Kluyveromyces lactis: one gene and its partners. The protein of the gene in region 1 interacts with the protein of each later gene in a biochemical or structural test. Links are inferred from orthologs where the notes say so. Each region holds a gene or a part of one and is shown in the gene's direction. Other genes may lie near its edges.

What was found.
Region 2: the proteins of SLA1 (region 1) and UBI4 form a complex in vitro, tested with the Saccharomyces cerevisiae proteins (3 studies listed by BioGRID, with this or other methods). The link is inferred for Kluyveromyces lactis from reciprocal best matches to the Saccharomyces cerevisiae genes SLA1 and UBI4.
Region 3: the proteins of SLA1 (region 1) and LAS17 form a complex in vitro, tested with the Saccharomyces cerevisiae proteins (2 studies listed by BioGRID, with this or other methods). The link is inferred for Kluyveromyces lactis from reciprocal best matches to the Saccharomyces cerevisiae genes SLA1 and LAS17.
Region 4: the proteins of SLA1 (region 1) and RSP5 form a complex in vitro, tested with the Saccharomyces cerevisiae proteins (2 studies listed by BioGRID, with this or other methods). The link is inferred for Kluyveromyces lactis from reciprocal best matches to the Saccharomyces cerevisiae genes SLA1 and RSP5.
Region 5: the proteins of SLA1 (region 1) and CHC1 form a complex in vitro, tested with the Saccharomyces cerevisiae proteins (2 studies listed by BioGRID). The link is inferred for Kluyveromyces lactis from reciprocal best matches to the Saccharomyces cerevisiae genes SLA1 and CHC1.
Region 6: of the proteins of SLA1 (region 1) and KLLA0_E08405g, one has a biochemical effect on the other in vitro, tested with the Saccharomyces cerevisiae proteins (2 studies listed by BioGRID). The link is inferred for Kluyveromyces lactis from reciprocal best matches to the Saccharomyces cerevisiae genes SLA1 and PRK1.

The regions. Positions count from the first base shown.
Region 1 is NC_006037.1:445,988-450,174, reverse strand, and holds the start of SLA1 (cytoskeletal protein-binding protein SLA1), read left to right. Parts: upstream 1-1,387; coding exon 1,388-4,187. Other genes in the region: 2-hydroxy-palmitic acid dioxygenase MPO1, read left to right, coding at 64-585. UniProt on the Saccharomyces cerevisiae protein: Component of the PAN1 actin cytoskeleton-regulatory complex required for the internalization of endosomes during actin-coupled endocytosis. The complex links the site of endocytosis to the cell membrane-associated actin cytoskeleton.
Region 2 is NC_006041.1:74,448-77,535, reverse strand, and holds UBI4 (ubiquitin), read left to right. Parts: upstream 1-1,442; coding exon 1,443-2,588; downstream 2,589-3,088. Other genes in the region: ECM29 (Ecm29p), read right to left, coding at 2,852-3,088. UniProt on the Saccharomyces cerevisiae protein: Ubiquitin exists either covalently attached to another protein, or free (unanchored).
Region 3 is NC_006039.1:433,425-437,181, forward strand, and holds LAS17 (actin-binding protein LAS17), read left to right. Parts: upstream 1-1,295; coding exon 1,296-3,257; downstream 3,258-3,757. Other genes in the region: KLLA0_C04752g (uncharacterized protein), read left to right, coding at 104-508; KLLA0_C04796g (uncharacterized protein), read right to left, coding at 3,383-3,757.
Region 4 is NC_006041.1:1,196,726-1,200,932, forward strand, and holds RSP5 (NEDD4 family E3 ubiquitin-protein ligase), read left to right. Parts: upstream 1-1,407; coding exon 1,408-3,867; downstream 3,868-4,207. Other genes in the region: DSE1 (Dse1p), read right to left, coding at 1-461. UniProt on the Saccharomyces cerevisiae protein: E3 ubiquitin-protein ligase which accepts ubiquitin from an E2 ubiquitin-conjugating enzyme in the form of a thioester and then directly transfers the ubiquitin to targeted substrates.
Region 5 is NC_006042.1:910,805-913,469, reverse strand, and holds the end of CHC1 (clathrin heavy chain), read left to right. Parts: coding exon 1-2,165; downstream 2,166-2,665. Other genes in the region: chromatin-remodeling protein SPT16, read right to left, coding at 2,391-2,665. UniProt on the Saccharomyces cerevisiae protein: Clathrin is the major protein of the polyhedral coat of coated pits and vesicles. In yeast, it is involved in the retention of proteins in an intracellular membrane compartment, presumably the trans-Golgi.
Region 6 is NC_006041.1:755,739-759,832, reverse strand, and holds KLLA0_E08405g (Ark/Prk/Nak family serine/threonine-protein kinase), read left to right. Parts: upstream 1-1,294; coding exon 1,295-3,628; downstream 3,629-4,094. Other genes in the region: KLLA0_E08449g (uncharacterized protein), read right to left, coding at 1-115; histone deacetylase HDA1, read right to left, coding at 3,671-4,094. UniProt on the Saccharomyces cerevisiae protein: Protein kinase involved in the regulation of actin cytoskeleton organization and endocytosis. Phosphorylates PAN1 which disrupts the interaction between PAN1 and END3, and between PAN1 and SLA1. Phosphorylates SCD5.

The DNA.
Region 1 (4,187 bases):
CAGCAACATCAAAAAACACAAGCAAAGCATCCGTGTTACGGTTTTGCGCTACCAAGTCTCAGAATGAGTCCCAGTCTTCTAGATCTAGAGACGCAACTAGCGTTCTACAAAGCTTATCATAACAATACTGGGAATGTGTTAATTCATAGCATTTTTGTCCCAACGATTCTCTTTACATCCATGCGTATATTGAACGACGTTAAGATCTGGAATGGCTATACCTTGACTCATTTGTTAGCGTTGTCATTTGGGTTGTTCTATATACTGTTACGAGTAGGTACCGGAATCCTTGCGTCGTTGATATTGGCACTGACGTGCAAATTTTTGAACGACGGGACTATTAAGATGACACAGACCACTGCCTGGATATTATTTGTGATCAGTTGGATCTTCCAGTTCATTGGCCACGGTGTTTTCGAGAAGCGCAAACCTGCGCTTCTCGATAACTTGGTGCAAAGTCTTGTGCTAGCGCCATACTTCATCCTTTACGAATTACTATTTATTTTAGGGTTCATGCCTGAACTTAAGAAGAATCTACAAGCTCGTGTTGACAAAGAGCTAGATCGTATGAGAGCGAGTAAATAAACTTAACCTCCGTTCGCCTAAACAGTATATATGCTCTATTTATGACTTCTATGATGATGACAATAACGATACTTGAACCCATGATGGAATTGAAACATCAATCACGTGATATAGAAATGATCTCTTTTTTTTCTTCTTTCTATCAGATCTCTGCGATTCGCAGTCACATGACTAGAACTGGGCAAGAACCCCTTTTTATTTCCAGATCCGGGATCACCGTATCATCATGTACGAAACACAACCCCGGGTAACCAAAGGATCACAGAAAAACAATTCGAAAACTGCAGGTTCTTGTACCACACTGCCAGGAACCGGTGCTGCGTGCTGTCGGTATTTTCATTTGTTCTTTTTCTGAGTGAAAATGAGAGAATCAGAAAATGAGAAAAGATTAGGCCCAAAATAATTGAATAAGTCTATCAATATACTTAGAACATATATAAATATATATATGTCTATACATATATAAGTAATTCGTATAAACAAGTTTTAGCTTGAATTGGGTTAGAAAGGCCAGACAAACTCTTGAGGTTTAGATAGAGTGCGCGAGTTGCATTGCAATTGTGCAAAAGAGAAAAAAAAAAACCAATCAAAACGGAGAAATAAAAGGAAATAGCATAATACCGAAAAGAGACGACAAAAAGGAAGTGTCTCGTATTCCTGCATTCTTTTAGTTTTTGATTTCAATTTAGTTTGGATAATTAAATTTGATTGGCGATTTGTATAGGGATCCTCTTGGCCTTGTATACAATCTGGAAGCTTATAGGTCCTTTTACTTGGCTCCTGACGCATTTAAATACCTACAATGACGGTGTTTTTGGGTGTTTACCAGGCGCTTTACGATTATTCTGCGCAAACAGATGAGGAACTAACTGTCAAAGAGGGTGATCTATTGTATCTTTTAGAAAAATCTAGCATTGATGATTGGTGGACCGTTAAGAAGAGAGTTATCGGATCTGATCAGGATGAACCCGTAGGTTTGGTCCCCAAGACATATATTGAAGAGGCTCCAGTGATTGGGAGTGTAGTTGCGCTTTACGATTATGAACAAGTTCAGAATGCCAATGAGGAATTGGTATTCCATGAAAACGATACGTTCCAATTGTATGACGATAGGGATGCAGATTGGTTCTTGGTGAAGAATACCAAGAATTCAGAGGTTGGGTTTGTGCCAGGTAATTACGTGGAAAAACAATCGCAGCAAGCTGGAGGTCCCGCTGCAGGAGTTACACAGTCTAAGCACCAAGCCCCAGCTGTTCTACCCCTTTCTGAACTTCCAGCTCCACCTCAGAGGTTGGACAGAGTCAATTCTCAACCATCATTCAGAAGCGGATCTACCCCTGCTGGCGCTGCAAGTACAGCAGATGCTCCAGGAGCTCCATCTACATCGACACCACCACCAGCATCAAATGCAGGCGTTGCGTCTCATACAACTATGCCAGTTGATGTTTCACTGCTCCCTCCACCTCCAAAGAGAAACGATACGGCAACCACAGAAGTCCAGCGTGAGTCAGCAGTAGCAGAACCTCCAGCAATGCCTCAAAGACCTTCTAATACTGAACACCAAACAAGTTATCGTGATGACCCAAGAGACAATAATAGAACTTCCCAAATAACTAGAGATTATTCAGATGATGAGCGTGATTACGATTTCGATGACGATGAGGAAGATCAACCTCCACTGCCATCTAGAAATGGAAGACCTTCAGCCTCGACCGCTGAACATGTTTGGTCTGTTAGTGAGGTTGATGGTCGTAAGAAATGTAAAGCTACGTTGACTGTTTCTGCTGAACGTATTCATTTCTTCTCTGCAAAGACAAAAGTGGATCAAGAATGGGCAGTTAAAGATTTGATCAACTATAACAATGAAAAAAAGCATCTATTTCTTGAATTTAAAAACCCTTACATTAACTTGGAATTGCATACTGGCTCTAACGATCTGGCTAACGAGATCATGGGCGTCTTGGGTGAGATTAAAGGTGCCCAGACAGCAGTTGGGTTACGTGAAGTTGAAGCTGCTTCAAGGCCTGCCATGACCAAGAAAAGAGCTAAAGCTGTATATGACTTTTTCGCTAACTCTCCTGATGAACTCACCGTTAAAGAAGGCGACTACATTAATATCTTAGATGACAGGACTTCGAAAGACTGGTATATGTGTGAATCTGTAGAAACAGGTAAAAGAGGCATTGTCCCCGCACAATTTGTCGAAACACGCGGATCAGGCTCATCAAGGCCTTCTGATGAAAGCCCTTCTAGGAGTAAGTCTAAGACCAGATCCAGATCTAACACTTCTAACTTTACTCAAAATTTAGTTGGCAGCTGGAAAGAGGATGCTGATCAAGATGTATCGAAGAAAAAGTCTAAAACTTCGAGCTTTTTCTCCAAGAAGAAGAAAACTGATGATAAAGAGTTCCCTGATCCTAAAAAGGTTAGAATTTGGGTAGACAGAAGTGGTACTTTCAAAGTTGAAGCACAGTTTTTGGGCTGTGTCGATGGGAAGGTTAACTTACATAAGGTGAACGGTGTGAAAATTGCTGTTGCTGCAGACAAATTGTCCGAAGATGATATTTTGTATGTGGAAAGATTGACGGGTATGTCTATGGAGAAATTCAAACATAAACCCAAGAGTTCAAATAATGACAGTAGTGCAGTAAACGCAGAACGTGAAAGAAGAAGAAAGGCTAAGGAGCGTGAACGGGAACTTGAAGAAAGAGAACGTGATAGACAATTAAGAGAGCAAGAACTTAAAGAGTTAAAGAGGGCTAGAGATCTCTTGGAAAGCGAAAGAGAAAAGCTGAGGAGTGCACAAGACAAAGAACTGCCACCTGTGAAACCACCAAGACCAGGCAGTGAAGCAAGCAAAACGCACCCTGTCACAAAGAGCTCCAAGAATCCCGAATACGATTGGTTCGAATTTTTCTTGAATGCTGGTGTTGATGTCAACAATTGTCAACGCTACACCATTAATTTCGAAAGAGAGCAAATTAGTGAAGAAATCTTGCCAGATATCGAGCCTTCTTTATTAAGAAACTTAGGTCTACGTGAAGGTGACATTTTAAGAGTAATGAAGTATCTAGATAACAAGTTTGGCAGAACAAAGGAGGCTTCTCCATCAACTGGATTGTTTACTGAAGCCGATGGATCCTTGAAGGTTAACCATACAGGTGCTCCCGCATCTGCAGGCGTATCTCATAATCTATTACCAGATAGTAATTCATCGAATAGAGATGATGATGCATGGACTGTTAGACCTGCTGCTAAAGCCAGCGACAGCTCCAACAAGGCTCAGGATTTCTCTGGGTCACTTCAAGATTTGCTTGATTTGCAACCTTTAGAGCCGAAGAAGAAAGAAACACCAGCTCCAGATGTCAAGCATCTAGAATCTGTCACCACTAACGGTTCGAATAAAAAGGAAGAAACCCCTCTGTCAGCAAATAAGACGGGTACTTCTTTGGTTCCATTAGATCCATTCAAAACTGGTGGTAATAATCTAATCCCTATTACTACAGGGGGATTCATTATGATGCCAGTAGCAACAGGCGGTTTAATGCCATTCCAACCGACTGGGGGGCTAGTACCTCTGCAAAGGACTGGAGGTATGATTG
Region 2 (3,088 bases), on another chromosome or scaffold:
ATGTAACCCCATTAGTAGTTGTACTATTTACTTTTGCCTAAAAAAAAATTCCTGTTTTTGTTTGTGCTGTCTCCCCTTTTCACTATCGATACGAGAAAAAAGTACAGAAATTGTTGCATTTTCTTCTAAATTCGACTAAATTAAATGCCGCTCAATCGCCTACGGCAGCCTACATGCCTATCAGAGAACTTCTTGGACTCCTTACTTAATGAAGTCCCTTTCCTCGGATGCTGAATGGAGAAAGACCATACAGCTCAATATGATGGAAAGTGTCACCTGAGTATACGACAAAGGCGTTAAGAACACCGCTATCATAAAAAGAGTCGAAAAAAAAGTGTCATCTAGGACTATAAGACAAGTAATATCGAAGAGATTCTGGGCAGTCCGAATTATCCCGCCAGGAACCTCAATGACAGAGATATTTGGCCTGGGTATGTTCCGGGAGCATCTGAAAGGTCAAGAATGAATTTAGGAGAAGCCAGGCAGATAAAATATGATGTATGTTACCCTGATTTAATCACGTGGATGACTTCGAGTCACTTTTTTCGTCTGTCTGTATCTTAGATTCTCCCCGCAAGTCTAAAAAAAAAGGATAAACTTCATTGTTCCATGAGTTTCCATGGTTACCTCTGCATATACACACTGTACTGCAGAAGGTATCAGTGGATACAAAGCGGTATGCTCTTTACTCTGAACAATCAAAGTTAGCAGTTCATTCCATATATCCCCGCTCTTCGTCATGCAATCATAAACCTCAAGTCATGGCGATCTGTAAGCCGGAGAAAAGATTCATTGCAAACAGTTAAAGATACAAGGCTGAAATACAGAGATGGCTGCAACGTAACAGATTCCAAACTGCCGGTTTTCCATCGAATTCCCTCTCGGGAAATTTTTCTTTTCAAACGGCCACCTTAGGCCGAGCGAAACTGATTACACTGGATGCTTTTATATAAATAGTGATCACTTGGGCGGCCGCCTTTTTTTCTCTCGTATTTGCCACTTCTGATTGTTCTTTCCCCCGTTTATTCTCTAAATACGTTTATCTTTTTCTAAGATATTATTCGGGTTAGATACTATTACTACCTATATCGCATTCATATATCTATTCTGAAAGTTTGGACAGCATAGCAGCTATCATTATTGTTCTTATTTTCATTTTTTGTGCTATATTCTCCGTTATTAGTAAGAACTGATAGGGAGATAAAATAAAAGAAATAAGCGAACAAGTTCCTTTTTTTTTAAAAAAAAAAGGGAGTATATATAAAAACAAAAGGGTTATTTTGGCAGTTTGTTTCCTGATATTATTAACAACATCATATTGGTTAAGAAGGAGCATCAAGAGTTTCTCTCATAGAAGATACTGACTCAAGGTTATACTATTTCACCCCAAATTATTTACCCCCCCCCCTCTCATTCCCCTTAAAACTAGATCAAGAGAAAACATGCAAATTTTCGTTAAGACTTTAACTGGTAAGACTATCACTTTGGAAGTTGAATCTTCTGACACCATCGATAACGTGAAATCGAAGATTCAAGACAAAGAAGGTATCCCTCCAGACCAACAAAGATTAATTTTTGCAGGTAAGCAGTTGGAAGATGGCAGAACCTTGTCTGACTATAACATCCAAAAGGAATCCACTTTACATCTTGTCTTGAGATTAAGAGGTGGTATGCAAATTTTCGTCAAAACCTTGACTGGTAAGACCATCACTTTGGAAGTCGAATCTTCCGACACCATCGATAACGTCAAGTCTAAGATTCAAGACAAAGAAGGTATCCCTCCAGACCAACAAAGATTAATTTTTGCAGGTAAGCAGTTGGAAGATGGCAGAACCTTGTCCGATTACAACATCCAAAAAGAATCCACTTTGCATCTTGTTTTGAGATTAAGAGGTGGTATGCAAATTTTCGTCAAAACCTTAACCGGTAAGACCATCACTTTGGAAGTCGAATCTTCCGACACCATCGATAACGTCAAGTCTAAGATTCAAGACAAAGAAGGTATCCCTCCAGACCAACAAAGATTAATTTTTGCAGGTAAGCAGTTGGAAGATGGCAGAACCTTGTCCGATTACAACATCCAAAAAGAATCCACTTTGCATCTTGTTTTGAGATTAAGAGGTGGTATGCAAATTTTCGTCAAAACCTTAACCGGTAAGACCATCACTTTGGAAGTCGAATCTTCCGACACCATCGATAACGTCAAGTCTAAGATTCAAGACAAAGAAGGTATCCCTCCAGACCAACAAAGATTAATTTTTGCAGGTAAGCAGTTGGAAGATGGCAGAACCTTGTCTGACTATAACATCCAAAAGGAATCCACTTTACATCTTGTCTTGAGATTAAGAGGTGGTATGCAAATTTTCGTCAAAACCTTGACTGGTAAGACCATCACTTTGGAAGTCGAATCTTCCGACACCATCGATAACGTCAAGTCTAAGATTCAAGACAAAGAAGGTATTCCTCCAGACCAACAAAGATTAATTTTTGCAGGTAAGCAGTTGGAAGATGGCAGAACCTTGTCTGACTATAACATCCAAAAGGAATCCACTTTACATCTTGTCTTGAGATTAAGAGGTGGCATCTAATGGTAAAGATTTATTTCATATTTCCGATTACTGGAGTGAAACTCGATAGGGAGTTTATTAACGAGCTTGAGACCACGCAAAGCCGTTGTATCATTTATACTCAATTCAATTTTTTTTTTTTTTGCATTTTTTTTTTTTCCTTACATTCTTTGGATAAAAAGTTTAGGGTCTTGTATATATTATATACATTTTCAGAGATACATAACAACTATGATAATGTTATAAATAGTAGAAGATAGTAATATATCATCCGTTGGCAATTTCTACTGAGATATTCCAATATTTAAAGCTTCAGCTTTCAATACTGAGGAGTCATCCACTCTAAGAATCTCCAAAATGCCAAAGTCGACCATGGTATTGGTGTGGGGGAACTTTTCTTTCAATAGCCCACCATACCTTATCAGCTTTATCTTGACACTTTCAATAACTTCTTTCTTGTTGCATAGAGCGTGGCCATATTTCCAGATATCAATGAAAATGTGAGATACATCATTTGAGGA
Region 3 (3,757 bases), on another chromosome or scaffold:
TAAAGGCTTGTATAGAGAGATAGCACACGCACACAGGTAAGTACTGTTATGGTAGTATTAGTAATTTTTGATATCTTGTATTTCTGGTGACCAGTTTAACACAATGATTGATAGTTGCATTACTGGTACCTCATCCTGCCATTGTTGTGCCCTTTATATACCAGAAATCACAAAATATGACATCGAGCTGGACCCCAGCACTTGTTTCAAACATTCCAAAGCATGTAAACAAACACACCACAGAAAGCATTCTCAAACACTTGCTCCTGCTCACTGTTTATGTTTACTCTGTTTCGTTTCGTTTTGTTTCGCAACATCCAAAAGCTGTTCCTGTAATATGCTAAAACATAATTTCGTGTCAAAAAAGTGCCTAGGAAAAAGAATTCTTTTTGGAAGAGTTTTACGCTGGACTAAAGAGAAGAAAGCATTTACGTTTAACGTAACTGTAAACAAGACACAAAATGTAAACCCAATCACGCCGCCTGTTGTAAACTATTTCACATCATAAGCACGCAATCCAAACACCGTCCACCTGCAAAAAAAAACCATCTTTCGATGTTTCTCCCTCTGATCTCTTCGAGCATGTAGCTGTTGTTTACCTTTTGAATACCGCATGCTGGTTGCCAAAAAAACCCAGCATAAAGCGATCAACACGTACAAAGTGATTCTGACTTTTGTCAGATGCTGCAGTGCCAGACGGTTCCTGGGTCAGGACAGAAATTCTTCTGCCATTGTGCCGCTGTAACCACGTCCACATGCGTCGGCCAGATGTATCAGTAAACAGAACTCTTAATTTTTCTCCGTATTATGTTCGAATGCGTGTTCGTACTGAAATGCTTCTTGTCTTTCCTGTACCTTGCAGTGACCTAAATGGGCACACTGTATTCCCATTTACAAATGGTCTGTTAGTACTTTTGAATTCAATATGGCAACTTGAACAAACCCCATTGTGTAAAGGTCCTTTTTTTTTTATCTCTCTCGCAGTTCTGTTGGTCCCTTCTTCTTTCACTGAATCACTCTGTGAATTATAGGGGAATAATGCCGTATTAAGAATCGCTTCAACTTTCAATATTGAAAAATTGAAAAGTTGCGAAATGTTAAACAGACCGAAAACTTAAGAACCGTAAATTATAGTCAGCCAAACCCCCCCACTCCCTAAAGTGCATCGCGCGTTTGTGTTATTTTCATTAGAACCCATCGGTAGCTGCCTCCGTCAAGAATTGATTTCAAGTTGAACGAGTTTACACTTCTTTTGAGAAATTAATAATCATAAAGCAGTTGTTTCCGAGTATACTATGGGAGGCTTGAATTCTGCTGAGAAAGAAAAGGTTAAACATGCTTTGCCCAAGGCTTCTAACAAGATTATAGATGTTACTATCGCTAGGTTATACATTGCATACCCTAATCCAGAGAAATGGGTTTATACTGGCTTATCTGGTGCCATTGCATTGGTGGACGATATCGTTGGTAATACTTTCTTTTTGAAGTTGATCGACGTGCATGGGCATCGAGGTGTTCTCTGGGATCAAGAATTGTACGTGAACTTTCAATATAACCAGGATCGTACTTTCTTTCATACCTTTGAATTAGAACAATGTAACGCCGGGTTGTTATTCACCGATATTGGCGATGCTTCACATTTTTTGAAACGAGTACAGAAACGGGAGAAATACGCGTCCAAGAAGACCTTGGCCAACAAGAATGCAATTGCATTAGAGGACCAAATTAAGAAAGAGGAAGAGAGTAAAGTGATCCATGGTCCAAGAGGCGAATCCTTGATCAGTGACCAAAGGGTCAGATATAGATATGAACCGGAAAAGCACGAGCACCGCCAGGAACACCATTACGAGCAGCCCAGCCAGAATTATGCTTCAACTGAAAACTCAGCTTCAGATGCAAGTGCCGCTCCTCCTTCTTTTGCCTCGAAACCACCGCCACCGCCTGTCGAGAAACAACCTCCTCCTCCTGTGAGCATCCCATCTTATAAGTACGACTCTATTCCATCATTCCCAAGCTCTCCTGCACCTCCATCGGTTTCCTCTACTCATTCTCCTACCCCGGATTCATCCTATGCATCAACACCAGCACCAAGTAATCCTCCTCCACCAATAAACCACCCGGTACATGCAGTTCCTCCTCCTTTACCAGCAGAACAATATCGTCCACTGGCTCAGTCACCTCATCCGCAATTCCAGCAGCAGCATAATTCTCCTTCACCTGCAGCACCTCCTTCGATTCCGCCTATGCAGCAAAGCGTTGCAATCCCTCCTCCACCTTCCCATCCAGCTCAACAACAAAACGTCACTAATAACAACACTCCTCAGTTTGGACAATATTCTGTTGCTGGTCTGCAACCACCTCCGAGACCAACTTCAACGAGACCTGGTATTGCTCCTCCAGTTTCGAGGCGTGGTCCGGTACCACCTCCCCCTCCAAGACGCTCAGCTGCTCCGCCGTCCATTCCTTCAAGAGGTCCTCTACCTAATGCTCCAACTGGCGGTCAGCATAGTCGTACTGGAAGAGGGCCTCCACCACCACCACCACCTAGACGTGGTGGCCAGGCTCCTTCTCCACCTGCAAGCAGAGGTACAACTCATAACTCAGCCATCGGCCCTCCCCAGCCCCAGCTTCCACCACAAATGCAATCTCCTCCTCTTCAACAGCATAATACCTACAATGCAGCGCCTCCTGTTCAGCAATATCAACCACCACAGCAAACCGCATACATTCCGCCTCCCCCTGTCTTACCACCCCACTCAGGTGTAAGCACTCAGTATCACCCATCGACCGAGCCTATGTTAGCCCAACCCCAGCATCATATAGCGGTACCTAATGGCACTGCACCTCCCCCAGCACCTCCTGCCCCTCCGGCACCTTTTGCTCCACAGATAACGAACTCAGCGCCCGCACCACCACCACCTCCTCCTCCTCCTCCAGCCCCTGCATTTAATCAACCTGAAGCAGGATCTGGTTTTGTTGAAAATACTGGTGATGCTGGAAGGGATGCCTTATTAGCATCGATTCGTGGAGCTGGTCTGAATTCCCTCCGTAAGGTGGATAAATCTCAACTTGAAAAGCCAAGTCCTTTGTTACAAGAAGTTCGTAGTGATGCGCCGGTATCTCAACCCACAGGCGGGTCAACTGGCGGACCTGTTGGTGCTCCTGCGTCCTTGGCTGATGCCCTAGCTGCGGCTTTAAACCAAAGAAAGAATAAAGTTGCTCGTGACGATGATATAGACAACGGTGATGATTGGTGAAAGTAATTCACCCTACTTGAACTGCATCTGACTAGACTGTGGAATTATGATTTGGTATTTGTATGTACGGTGTACCTATATATTACTTTCAGATGCCTTTAAAACAGAAGACAGATAAAACTAAACTAATTATTCAAAGAACTCCACTTATTTGACCATACCTGTATCCATTTCAACTTGGACTCATCTGAACCGTTTAGCTGTGTAATAATTTTTATAACTTTCTTAACATCATTATTGATAGCAAGTACTGATGTTTCCACTTCTGGATCTACTTCATATTCAGCGTTCACTAAGGTGGATGAAATTAAAGTATCAGAGTTAGAAACTATTGAATTGTGGAGTTGATTTAGCTCAGATAGATATGCTGCTGTAGTTACAGTATCCTTTTTTATGGTTATCGATTTGGATAATGAACTCAACAAGAGCTTAAGGAGACGAGATTTTTGCGATAGTGATTTGACAAATTCAATCATGGATTCTGAAGCTTCCTCTTCCTC
Region 4 (4,207 bases), on another chromosome or scaffold:
ATGGTTTGTAAACTATGGAGCAATTTCCCACCGCGAGCCTGCTCATTAATTTCATTATTCCGCAATTGGAACAACTGTAAATTATCCGATGTCTGTGATGTGGAAAGTAGAATGGTGTCCCTATCCAATGACATTGAAGTGACGTCCCTAGTGTCTTCTGACAGTTTCCAACAATCTGTCTTCAATTTTTTCGTGACAATGACATCGTTCAAATCACCACTAACCTTCCTTAGCAAGGAACTGTTCAATTTCGAAGCCTCTATCTTGCAATTCCGCCTGACAATAGTACTGTTCTCGTCATCGCTAATATCTCTTCTACTCTTCTTGACGATGATGGCGTTCTGTCTGAATATCTCTGGAGCCCTGTAGAATTCAGTCATAATTTTCGCAATATACAGTTTCTTATTTGACTTTGTGTAATGTTTGCACTGCAGAGAATAATTGATTGTTAACAGGTACATCCATTAGAGGAGTAAGAGCTGGTCACTTTTAGAAACGACATGTTTATATATGATACAGGGCAAATAAAAATAGCACTAGCAAACACTGAGCCAATCAAAAATAGGACCAAACGCAGAACAAGCAACAAAAATTAGAGAAAGGCACGTTACCTATTGAGTGTGTTAGGCAGCCATATGAGCAAACATCCTGTTTATGTTTGCAAGAGGTTTGTTTACCTGTAAACAAACCCAGCATCTTTAAAGCTGGCAAAGGCTTGTTTATATTTATGTCATTTTGGACGATATGATTTTTGTCACGTGATGCCCATAATCGTCCCATATGCACGTCATCTGACAGCAATACGGCAGATTCTTGCAACCTGGTGGCTACCACCGCCATTAATGCCGTTTCCGAATTTACTGACATACTCGGCGTAGCCTGGTATCCCTCTTTAGTACTCTTTTTCCAGGTTTCAATCTCCTCACGTGACAAGTAAAGGAGAAAAGAAAATTGTGATTTGCATATTTTAATTAAGGAAACAAAACAAGAACAAAGATACTTTACTTGCAAACAACATCCGATTTAATCATCAGATCAAGGTGCTAGAGGATAAGCAAACGTGCATTGACAGTGGCAAAAAGGACGGTACGGAAAAGGGTATTGAGCAAGGTATTGATCTGATTTTTCTTTGCTTCTTTTTAGAGGAATCATCAACTTTTTTTCTGGTTCTGTTTCCTGTTCTGTTTCTTTGCAATTACGACAATTAAAGAAGACAAAAGACAAAAAATAAAACCTTATAGGCTTTCTCGGGCGGTTTTATTTGTTTAATAATTATTGCTGTTACTACCACTTATCAGATATCTAGTGTTTGAAGACTTTTCAATTTGTTATTGAGATTCCACTTTGAAGGAGAAATTATCGGATTTGAAATTGACAAACCATTAAAAAAATAAAAAGCTGCGAAATATGTCTATCTCTGTGAAACTAGTGGCTGCTGAGTCATTGAACAGGAGGGATGTGTTTAGATCTCCTGATCCGTTTGCAGTTTTGACTATCGATGGTTCTCAGACGAAATCCACAGCGGCTGCAAAGAAGACGTTGAATCCCTACTGGAATGAAGTATTTCAATTCAAAAATGTGAGTGAAAATTCGATCTTAACTGTTCAAGTGTTTGATCAGAAAAAGTTCAAGAAGAAAGATCAAGGGTTCCTAGGTGTTGTCAACGTTCGTATTGGTGACATTCTGGGTCACTTGGACGAAGATACTGCCACTTCGAACGGTAGAGCTCGTGAAGAGACTATTACTAGAGATTTAAAACGTTCTAACGACGGGTTGTCAGTAAGTGGTAGAATAATATTGGTTTTGACGGTTCTCCCCAGAGCTGGCAGCCGTAATGGAGCTGCTGGTGCCGCAGGTAGTGCTGTTGCTGGTTCCGGAGCAGCTCGTCAATCGGATTCGATGACGAACGCTTCCACTATCGACAACAGATTGATTGCTCAGACTGTTGCTAACAACTTGCAAACTACTACATTAGACAACCAGGATTCTGCGAATGCTGCAGGTACCGCCAGTTCAGGTTCAGGTGCCGGTTCAAGTGATGCTGCTCCATCCGGTCAACCTTCGACAGCTCAATCTCAATCGTCAGCTAGCAGGCAATACTCATCGTTTGAAGATCAATATGGTCGTTTACCCCCAGGATGGGAAAGAAGAACGGATAACTTTGGAAGAACATATTATGTGGATCATAATACAAGGACAACAACATGGAAAAGACCCACTTTGGATCAATCCGAGGTTCAACGTGTCAACACCGAACTAGAACGTAGACAACACAGAGGAAGAACTTTACCTGATGGTGGTGCTCAATCAGAGGGCTCGTCTTCATCAAACGTTGCTGTTCATACCGGTACTGGATCTCAAACTCCTGCCGTAAACGGTTCAGCAGCTGCTACTTTTGCTGCCACTGGGGGTACCACATCGGGGTTGGGTGAACTTCCACCAGGTTGGGAACAACGGTTCACTCCTGAAGGAAGAGCGTACTTCGTTGATCACAACACAAGAACCACGACATGGGTCGATCCAAGAAGACAACAATATATTAGAACCTATGGGCCTTCCACAAATACCATACAACAACAACCTGTATCTCAGTTAGGACCTTTGCCTTCTGGTTGGGAGATGAGATTGACAAACACAGCCCGTGTATACTTCGTTGACCATAACACTAAGACCACCACTTGGGATGATCCTAGATTACCTTCTTCCTTGGATCAAAACGTTCCACAGTATAAGCGTGACTTCAGACGTAAGGTTATTTACTTCAGATCCCAACCGGCTTTAAGAATTCTACCAGGTCAATGTCACATCAGAGTACGCAGAAAGAATATCTTCGAAGATTCTTACCAAGAAATAATGAGACAAACGCCAGAAGACTTAAAGAAGAGACTAATGATCAAATTTGACGGTGAAGAAGGTTTAGATTATGGTGGTGTTTCAAGAGAATTCTTCTTTTTACTATCACACGAGATGTTTAATCCCTTCTACTGTCTATTTGAATATTCTGCCCATGATAACTATACTATCCAAATCAATCCAAACAGTGGTATCAACCCTGAGCATTTGAACTACTTCAAGTTCATTGGTAGAGTCGTCGGTTTAGGTGTATTCCATAGAAGGTTCTTGGATGCATTCTTCGTTGGTGCTCTATATAAGATGATGCTAAGAAAGAAGGTAGTATTACAAGATATGGAAGGTGTCGATTCAGAAGTCTACAACTCCTTGAAATGGATTTTAGAAAATAGCATAGATGGCATTTTAGATCTAACATTTAATGTTGATGATGAAAGATTTGGTGAACTGGTTGTCGTCGATTTGAAACCAAACGGCAGAGAAATCGAAGTCACAGATGAAAACAAGAAAGAATATGTTGAACTATATACCCAATGGAGGATCGCAGACAGAGTTCAAGAACAATTTAAGGCATTTATGGATGGATTTAACGAATTGGTTCCTGAAGATCTAGTCAACGTGTTTGATGAACGTGAACTTGAATTATTGATTGGTGGTATTGCAGAAATTGATGTTGAAGACTGGAAAAAACACACAGATTATCGTGGATACCAAGAGTCTGACGAAGTTATCCAGTGGTTCTGGAAATGTATCACTGAATGGGACAACGAGCAAAGAGCACGTTTGTTACAATTCACAACTGGTACATCGCGTATCCCGGTCAATGGATTCAAAGATTTGCAAGGTTCTGATGGTCCAAGAAGATTCACTATCGAAAAAGCAGGTGAAGTTCAACAACTACCCAAGTCACACACTTGTTTCAACAGAGTGGATCTTCCACCATACACTGATTATGAATCTTTCAAGCAGAAGCTAACATTAGCAGTGGAAGAAACCATCGGATTTGGACAAGAGTAGTTGAATGAATCTTTCAATCTTTTCAATACCCTGCACCTTCTCAATTATTCAATCAGAAAGCGCAAGCACAAACACAAGCACAGACATATATATGTTATAGATATATTGTTGCCAAAACATGTGTATATTATTACATAGAAATTTTTTTCTTAACCTCGTTAGGCCTCAACTTATGGTGCTTTGTTATATTTTATTGCCATTATCAGGTGTTACTTTATATAGGTATGCTATAATGTGGGAAGCAATTGACAACGAAGTATCTGGTTCCTAACCGACGGAGTTTTGTAATTGCCCAGAGATTGATATATCCAGCTTAAATTTTGGGATAATAACGAAAATT
Region 5 (2,665 bases), on another chromosome or scaffold:
ATTTGATTAGAATCACAAACGAAAATAGTATGTACAAATATCAGGCCAGATATTTGTTGGCTCGTTCAAACTCTGATTTGTGGAACATTGTGTTGTCTCCTGACAATATCCATAGACGTCAATTGGTTGATGCTGTCATTAGCGTTGGCATTCCTGAGCTTACTGATCCAGAACCAGTGTCTTTGACTGTGCAGGCTTTTATGTCTAACGGATTAAAGACGGAGTTAATTGAATTGTTAGAGAAGATTATCCTAGAGCCATCTCCTTTCAATGACAATCCTGCTTTGCAAGGTTTATTGCTTCTCTCTGCTATTAGATATGAACCTAACAAGGTAAGTGGCTTAATTGAGAAATTAGATCATTATGATGTTGATGAAATTGCACCATTGTGTATTGAAAATGAATTAAATGAAGAAGCCTTCGAAATTTATGATAAACATGGGAAACATGACAAAGCATTGAAAGTTATAGTCGAAGATCTTTTGATGTTAGACAGAGCAGAATCATATGCCGACAAAATCAACACACCAGAGCTATGGTCTCAACTTGGTACTGCAGAATTAAATGCATTACGTATCCCAGAAGCTATTGACTCTTACATCAAGGCTAAAGATCCTTCGAACTTCATGAACGTTATCAAGGCTGCCGAAGACGCTGGTAAATTTGAAGAGCTTGTCCCATATTTGTTGATGGCTAGAGAATCTTTGAAGGAACCGGTAATCGACGGAGCATTAATCTTGGCATACGCTGAATTGAGTAAGTTGAATGAAATTGAAAACTTGTTGTCAGTCTCTACCGTTGCTAACCTAGAAGAAGTTGGTGATAAGTTATCCCAGCATAATGATTACAAAGCTGCCAAATTATGTTACTCTTCTATTTCTAACTACTCTAAGTTGGCTAGCACTTTAGTTTATTTGGGTGATTATCAAAATGCTGTCGATACCGCCAGAAAAGCTTCCAATGTTAAGGTGTGGAGACAGGTTAACGACGCATGTATTTCCAATAAAGAATTTAGATTGGCTCAAATCTGTGGTTTGAATTTGGTTGTTCATGCCGAGGAGTTAGACGAATTGGTTGCTGTATATGAGCACAACGGGTATTTCGAGGAGCTAATTTCCCTATTCGAAGCAGGTTTAGGTTTGGAAAGAGCTCATATGGGTATGTTTACTGAATTGGCAATCCTTTACACTAAGTACAATCCATCCAAGACTTATGAACACCTAAAGCTATTCTGGTCTCGTATTAACATTCCAAAAGTCATAAGGGCTGTAGAGGATGCTCATTTATGGCCAGAATTGATCTTTTTGTATGCACACTACGATGAATGGGATAATGCTGCTTTAACGATGATTGAAAAGTCTGCCTATAACTTTGACCATTCGTACTTCAAAGAAATCATTGTTAAAGTGTCAAACTTGGAAATTTACTACAAAGCAATCAACTTTTATGTGAAGGAACACCCTTCACTACTTGTTGATTTATTAACCGTGTTGATTCCAAGATTAGACATTCCAAGAACTGTTAGAATTTTCTCCAAATCTGACAATCTACCATTGATTAAACCATTCTTAATTAATGTCTTGCCAAAAAACAACTCCGTAGTTAATCAGGCTTATCACGATTTGATGATCGAAGAGGTTGATTACAAAGCTCTTCAAGACGCTGTTAGCTCGTATGATAAGTTTGATCAACTAGAGTTGGCCACCCGTTTGGAAAATCATGAGATAATTTTCTTCAAGATTATTGCTGCCGAATTGTACCGTAGAAACAAAAAGTGGGCCAAGAGTTTGGCTATCTTCAAGGGCGAACAGCTCTGGAAACATGCTATTGAAACTGCTGCAATTTCACAAAGTCAACAGATCGCCGAAGACCTATTATCATTCTTCATTGAAACCGACAACAAAGAAGGATTTATCGCTTTACTATATTCTTGTTACCACTTGATTACATACGATACTGTCCTTGAACAAGCTTGGTTGAATAACTTGGAAACATTTATTAAACCATATGAAATTTCTGTGAAGAAGGAGCAAAATGATGCGATCAAGCAATTAAGTTCCGAGTTTGCATCAAAGGCAAAAGTAGGCTCTAACTCCGATGACCAGCCATTACTTTTGACAAATGGCGCGATTGGCTCACAGGCAACTGGGTTTTCTAACTACTGAACTTGAGGGGGTTTAGTAAGTTATTTTCCATCGCACTTTCGATGCTGTCATGTTAATTTGATGAACCGTATGTATAATATGTAATAAGAATGCAATTACGTTGAGATAAATAAACCAACCAGAATAACCAACTATTTCAATAAAAAAGATTTTAAAGTGCCTACATTATGTGCTTATAAAAATACAACCCAAAATAACGATAAACTATCCAGAGACAGAAAAATCTTACTCTTTGTAATTGCTATTACGATCTGCCTTAGCTGCTTTCTTTTCTAAGTCATCCCAGTCATCACCTTCGTCATCTTCTGATCCATCGGCGAAATCATCTGACCCTTCATCACTGAATTTTTCGTCATCCGAATAATCCTCTTCTTCTTCAGAGTACACTTCCTCATCAGATGGATCCTCATCAGATGCCTCGTATTCTGAAATTTCTTCCTCGCTCTCATCAGATCTTTCATCATCGGATCCAGTTGCCAAGAACGACCACCCACCATCCA
Region 6 (4,094 bases), on another chromosome or scaffold:
AATGCACTGAGCCGTCACTTATCGATGTCATCAATCCATGTTGATATAGAGGTTGCAATTTCAAGCACCAGTTGTTTTCTTCAAAGTAGCGACATTTGTATTTGTTGAAGGACATTGTGGGACTTCGCACCGTGACTGGTTATAGTGCAGTAGACTTTAACAAACTAGTTTACTCGATGGGATGAGATGAATCTTTTCTACCTCTAATCAAAAATAATAGCTTTAACTACTGAAAAAGAAAGATTCATGTTCGAAGGTGGAAGGAAATGGTAAAAAGAATGGTTCCTAGCGGGATCGAACCGCTGATCCCCGCGTTATTAGCACGGTGCCTTAACCAACTGGGCCAAGGAACCAGATCTTATGGTTTTTCGTATATTTTTCCAAACTCATGGCGCATGGTGGCGAGACCGCTCAGGAACAATAATCGAGTAGCTACCAATCTAATTGACGGATAAGTAGCAATATGTTACATAGACATGCAGCTAATAACAAATATCGATTCATCTGATTCTGAAGATCCAGATCTGGTGGCACGTGACTGAAATGGTTAGATAAAAAACATCAACATCTTGACATCTCACAGGCTGAAGAGAACCATATATTCCATCACTTTTTTTTAAGCCACATTATTCCAAATTAATGTTTATTAGCATAGGAGGCCTTAGCAAAACCACAAGGCCACCGCTGTAACTATTCCCTGCTGAGAAACTTTTCTCCACAAAAAATAAGGGCACAAGTAAGCACCAGGGTCCAAGACTTGCCTTCACCTATTGTTCCTTTTTCCTTGCAGTTGTTATCACTCTTTTTAGGGACCCGCCCCTATTAACATTTTCCAATGTTGACAAAAAAATCAGGCTTGAACATTGAAAATGGAAGTCAGTTTTTTTTTCATATAAAAAATTATAGATTTGGTAAATTAAGTGCTATTCAATGAGGTTTACAGCGTTGAGCAGGGCAACAAGAAGCATAGTAGTTCCACCAAGCTACGGGGTTTTATCCTTACATTTATTTTTTTTGCATTTCATAGTTCATCCAAGTGGTGCACTTTTATCAATTGTGAGTTTTGCATTATTTTTTTTTACTTCATTCTGCCTGGACAAATTTCCATCAATTTGCTTATATACTTTTGTGCTATAGGTCACAGTACAAGAGAGCACGTAGGAAAGACGGCATTTGCAAAAGTTTTCTCGAAGGTTAACCCATTTGTGTTGGCGTTATACGCTTACTGTATTTTAACTGCTGGCTTTTCTCTTTTTCTTTGCATTCTGAATTCACATCTATATGGATCTTTAAAATGAATCAGCCGCAAATTGAGAAATACGCATCGGGTACCATATTGCCTGTTGGATCGCATCAGGTGAAGGTTTTGAAATATCTCGCGAGCGGTGGGTTCGCGCATGTATATTCCGTTGAAATTAGCCCGCCAGATCCGGTATGCCCAGATAATGTAGCATGTTTAAAGAGAGTTGTTGTTCCTGACAAAGCAAGTCTTAACACATTGAGGGCGGAAGTGGATTCAATGAAGGCTCTTAGAGGCAACAAATTCATTGTTTCGTATATCGATTCACATGCCACTAAGTCTCCGGTTAACGTAGGAATGTATGAAGTGTACTTGCTTATGGAATACTGTTCTGGCGGTGGGCTTATCGATTTCATGAATACCAGATTGCAGAATAGACTTCAAGAGTTTGAGATTCTCAATATCATGAGTCAAGTGAGTCAAGGTGTTGCTGCTATGCATGCTCTGCAACCACCATTGATCCATAGAGATATTAAGATTGAGAATGTCTTGCTCTCGAAAAATCATGAATTTAAGCTTTGTGATTTCGGATCAGTGTCTGGTGTCATTCGAGCGCCAAGAAATACAGAGGAGTTTAACTATGTCCAGTACGATATAATGAAAAATACAACGGCGCAGTACAGATGTCCAGAAATGATCGACTTATACCGTGGTTTACCGATAGACGAGAAGTCTGATATTTGGGCATTGGGTGTCTTCCTGTACAAAACATGCTATTATACTACGCCGTTCGAGAAAAATGGGGAATCTGCCATCTTAGCATCTAAATTCGAGTTCCCAGCCTATCCACGTTATTCTGATAGAGTGAAAAATTTGATAAGTGTCATGTTACGTGTAGATCCTCTGAAACGTCCGAATATTTGTCAAGTGGTAGAAGAGGTTTCACGTATTCAAGGCATTCCATGTCCAATCAAAAACTTTTATCTGTTAAGAATGATGGATAAACAGGAACAACCAAGGGTGTCGCCACCTCCTCATGTGCCACAGATGACTGTGCCGGCAACTGTGCCAACTTCTGTTTCAACTCAGCATCTGCCCCCCCAAGTTGTATCAAACGTACAGACTCCATCGAAAACTGCATCTATTCAGCACTTGCCTTATTTGCATGTGTCTAAGAGTCAACCTATGGTCACACAGCAGGATTTACTCTCACAAAAGCAACCTGCAGGAAAAACAGTTCCTCAGACGGTTTCAAACTACACAAGTTCAGATCCATTCTCCAAAATTGATAGATCTGCTCTTTTGTCTACTTCTGCTACAATGGAATCACTACCGAGGGCAATGAGAATACCACAACTAGAATATCAACAGCCTCATCTTCTGACAAGATCGCAATCAGTAGTGCCTAGAGCCTCTGTGAGTCCAGTAAGAAATGGTAGAGGTGCCATTTCAAGTATCTTGGCATCAAACAGAACATCCTTAGATAGACCAAAGTATGTGGACTCTGAAACTCAAACCAGCGATCATCCATCAGAACTGGGTCTTTCACGATCTCTGTCTAGAAAATCAGTCGCATCATCTCTGTCTTCTGCGGAATCCTTGGAAGCTACCTCAACTGGCGGTAGCTTGACTCGTAAAATAGGTTCTAAGATGAAAAAAGTTATCACCGGAGAGAAGAGGGGCTTTTCAACCATTAGAAGTGCACAAAATACCGGTGAAAGCGTAAAATCCGCATTTAACGCATTAAGAAAGGGAATTTCCTCAATGCAGTTCACTGGTGATAGCAGTTCCAGAAAATCATCTTTAGAAGCAAGAAAGTATAGAAGTACTTCAGGCAAATCCATTCCTGAAAATACTTCTTCTAACACCAAATCCCATAGGCGGTCCACCAGCTCGTTTTCCTTCGTTCCGGAAAATAATGACTATGAATTGATCGAAGATATACAAAAGGAGAAACCAAAATCATCACTGAGAAGATCCTCTTCCTTGAAAACTTCATCTTCGATCCAGAAGCGCGTTAAAGATCTAATCAATGCAGATGATATACCCAATCGCTCTTCTGCCACTGGATACGGGAAATATACTGATATTGGGAGGAAAACCGATATATCTGACCACCATAAATCCAATGCAAATCGTAAATCAAGTACAGTGATCACTCCTGTGCATGAGGCTCCTAAATCCAAACCAGCACCGCCACCCAAACCAGCTCATTTGAAGCCAAATCTTCCACCTAAGCCTAAACACCTAAAGGCAAAATCTTTCAGAACAAGCCCAGCAAAATCCGAAGTTAAAGAGCAGGATTCCGATCAAGATTCTGTGGGTAGCCCTTTCCAATCTCGAAAAGAAATGAAAGAGTTTGAAAGAAGATTTCCAAGTGCATTATAGAATACTTTTAAAATTACATATATCTTTATAATGATATTCTAATTATTCCGATTCACTCCATTCTTCGAAAGAATCCAATATGAAATCAGTTGCTTCTTCAAAACGTTCATCGAATATGTTTGTCATTCCGTCACAATCTGCCTTCAAAACTCTACCATACTTCTTTCTTAACTTCTTATTTTCGTTGGCCGTACTACCCCAACAAGAATGTGTGCTACTTGTGAATACCAAGGAATTCTTGAAATACCAATCTCCTAACGTTTCGTCAATTAATGGCACCATTACTTTAAGAGGTTTTTTGTCTAAAAATGATATTGCACATTTTACCACTGACCTGGTATCCCTATGGCCTAATAAATGGACAATGCCTCCGTAGGCATCTCCAATGCCGATAAATGCCACCTTTTGTAGATTTTGGAAGAATTTCAAGTAGTTATCCCATAAATATATCAGAATCTCTTGTGAT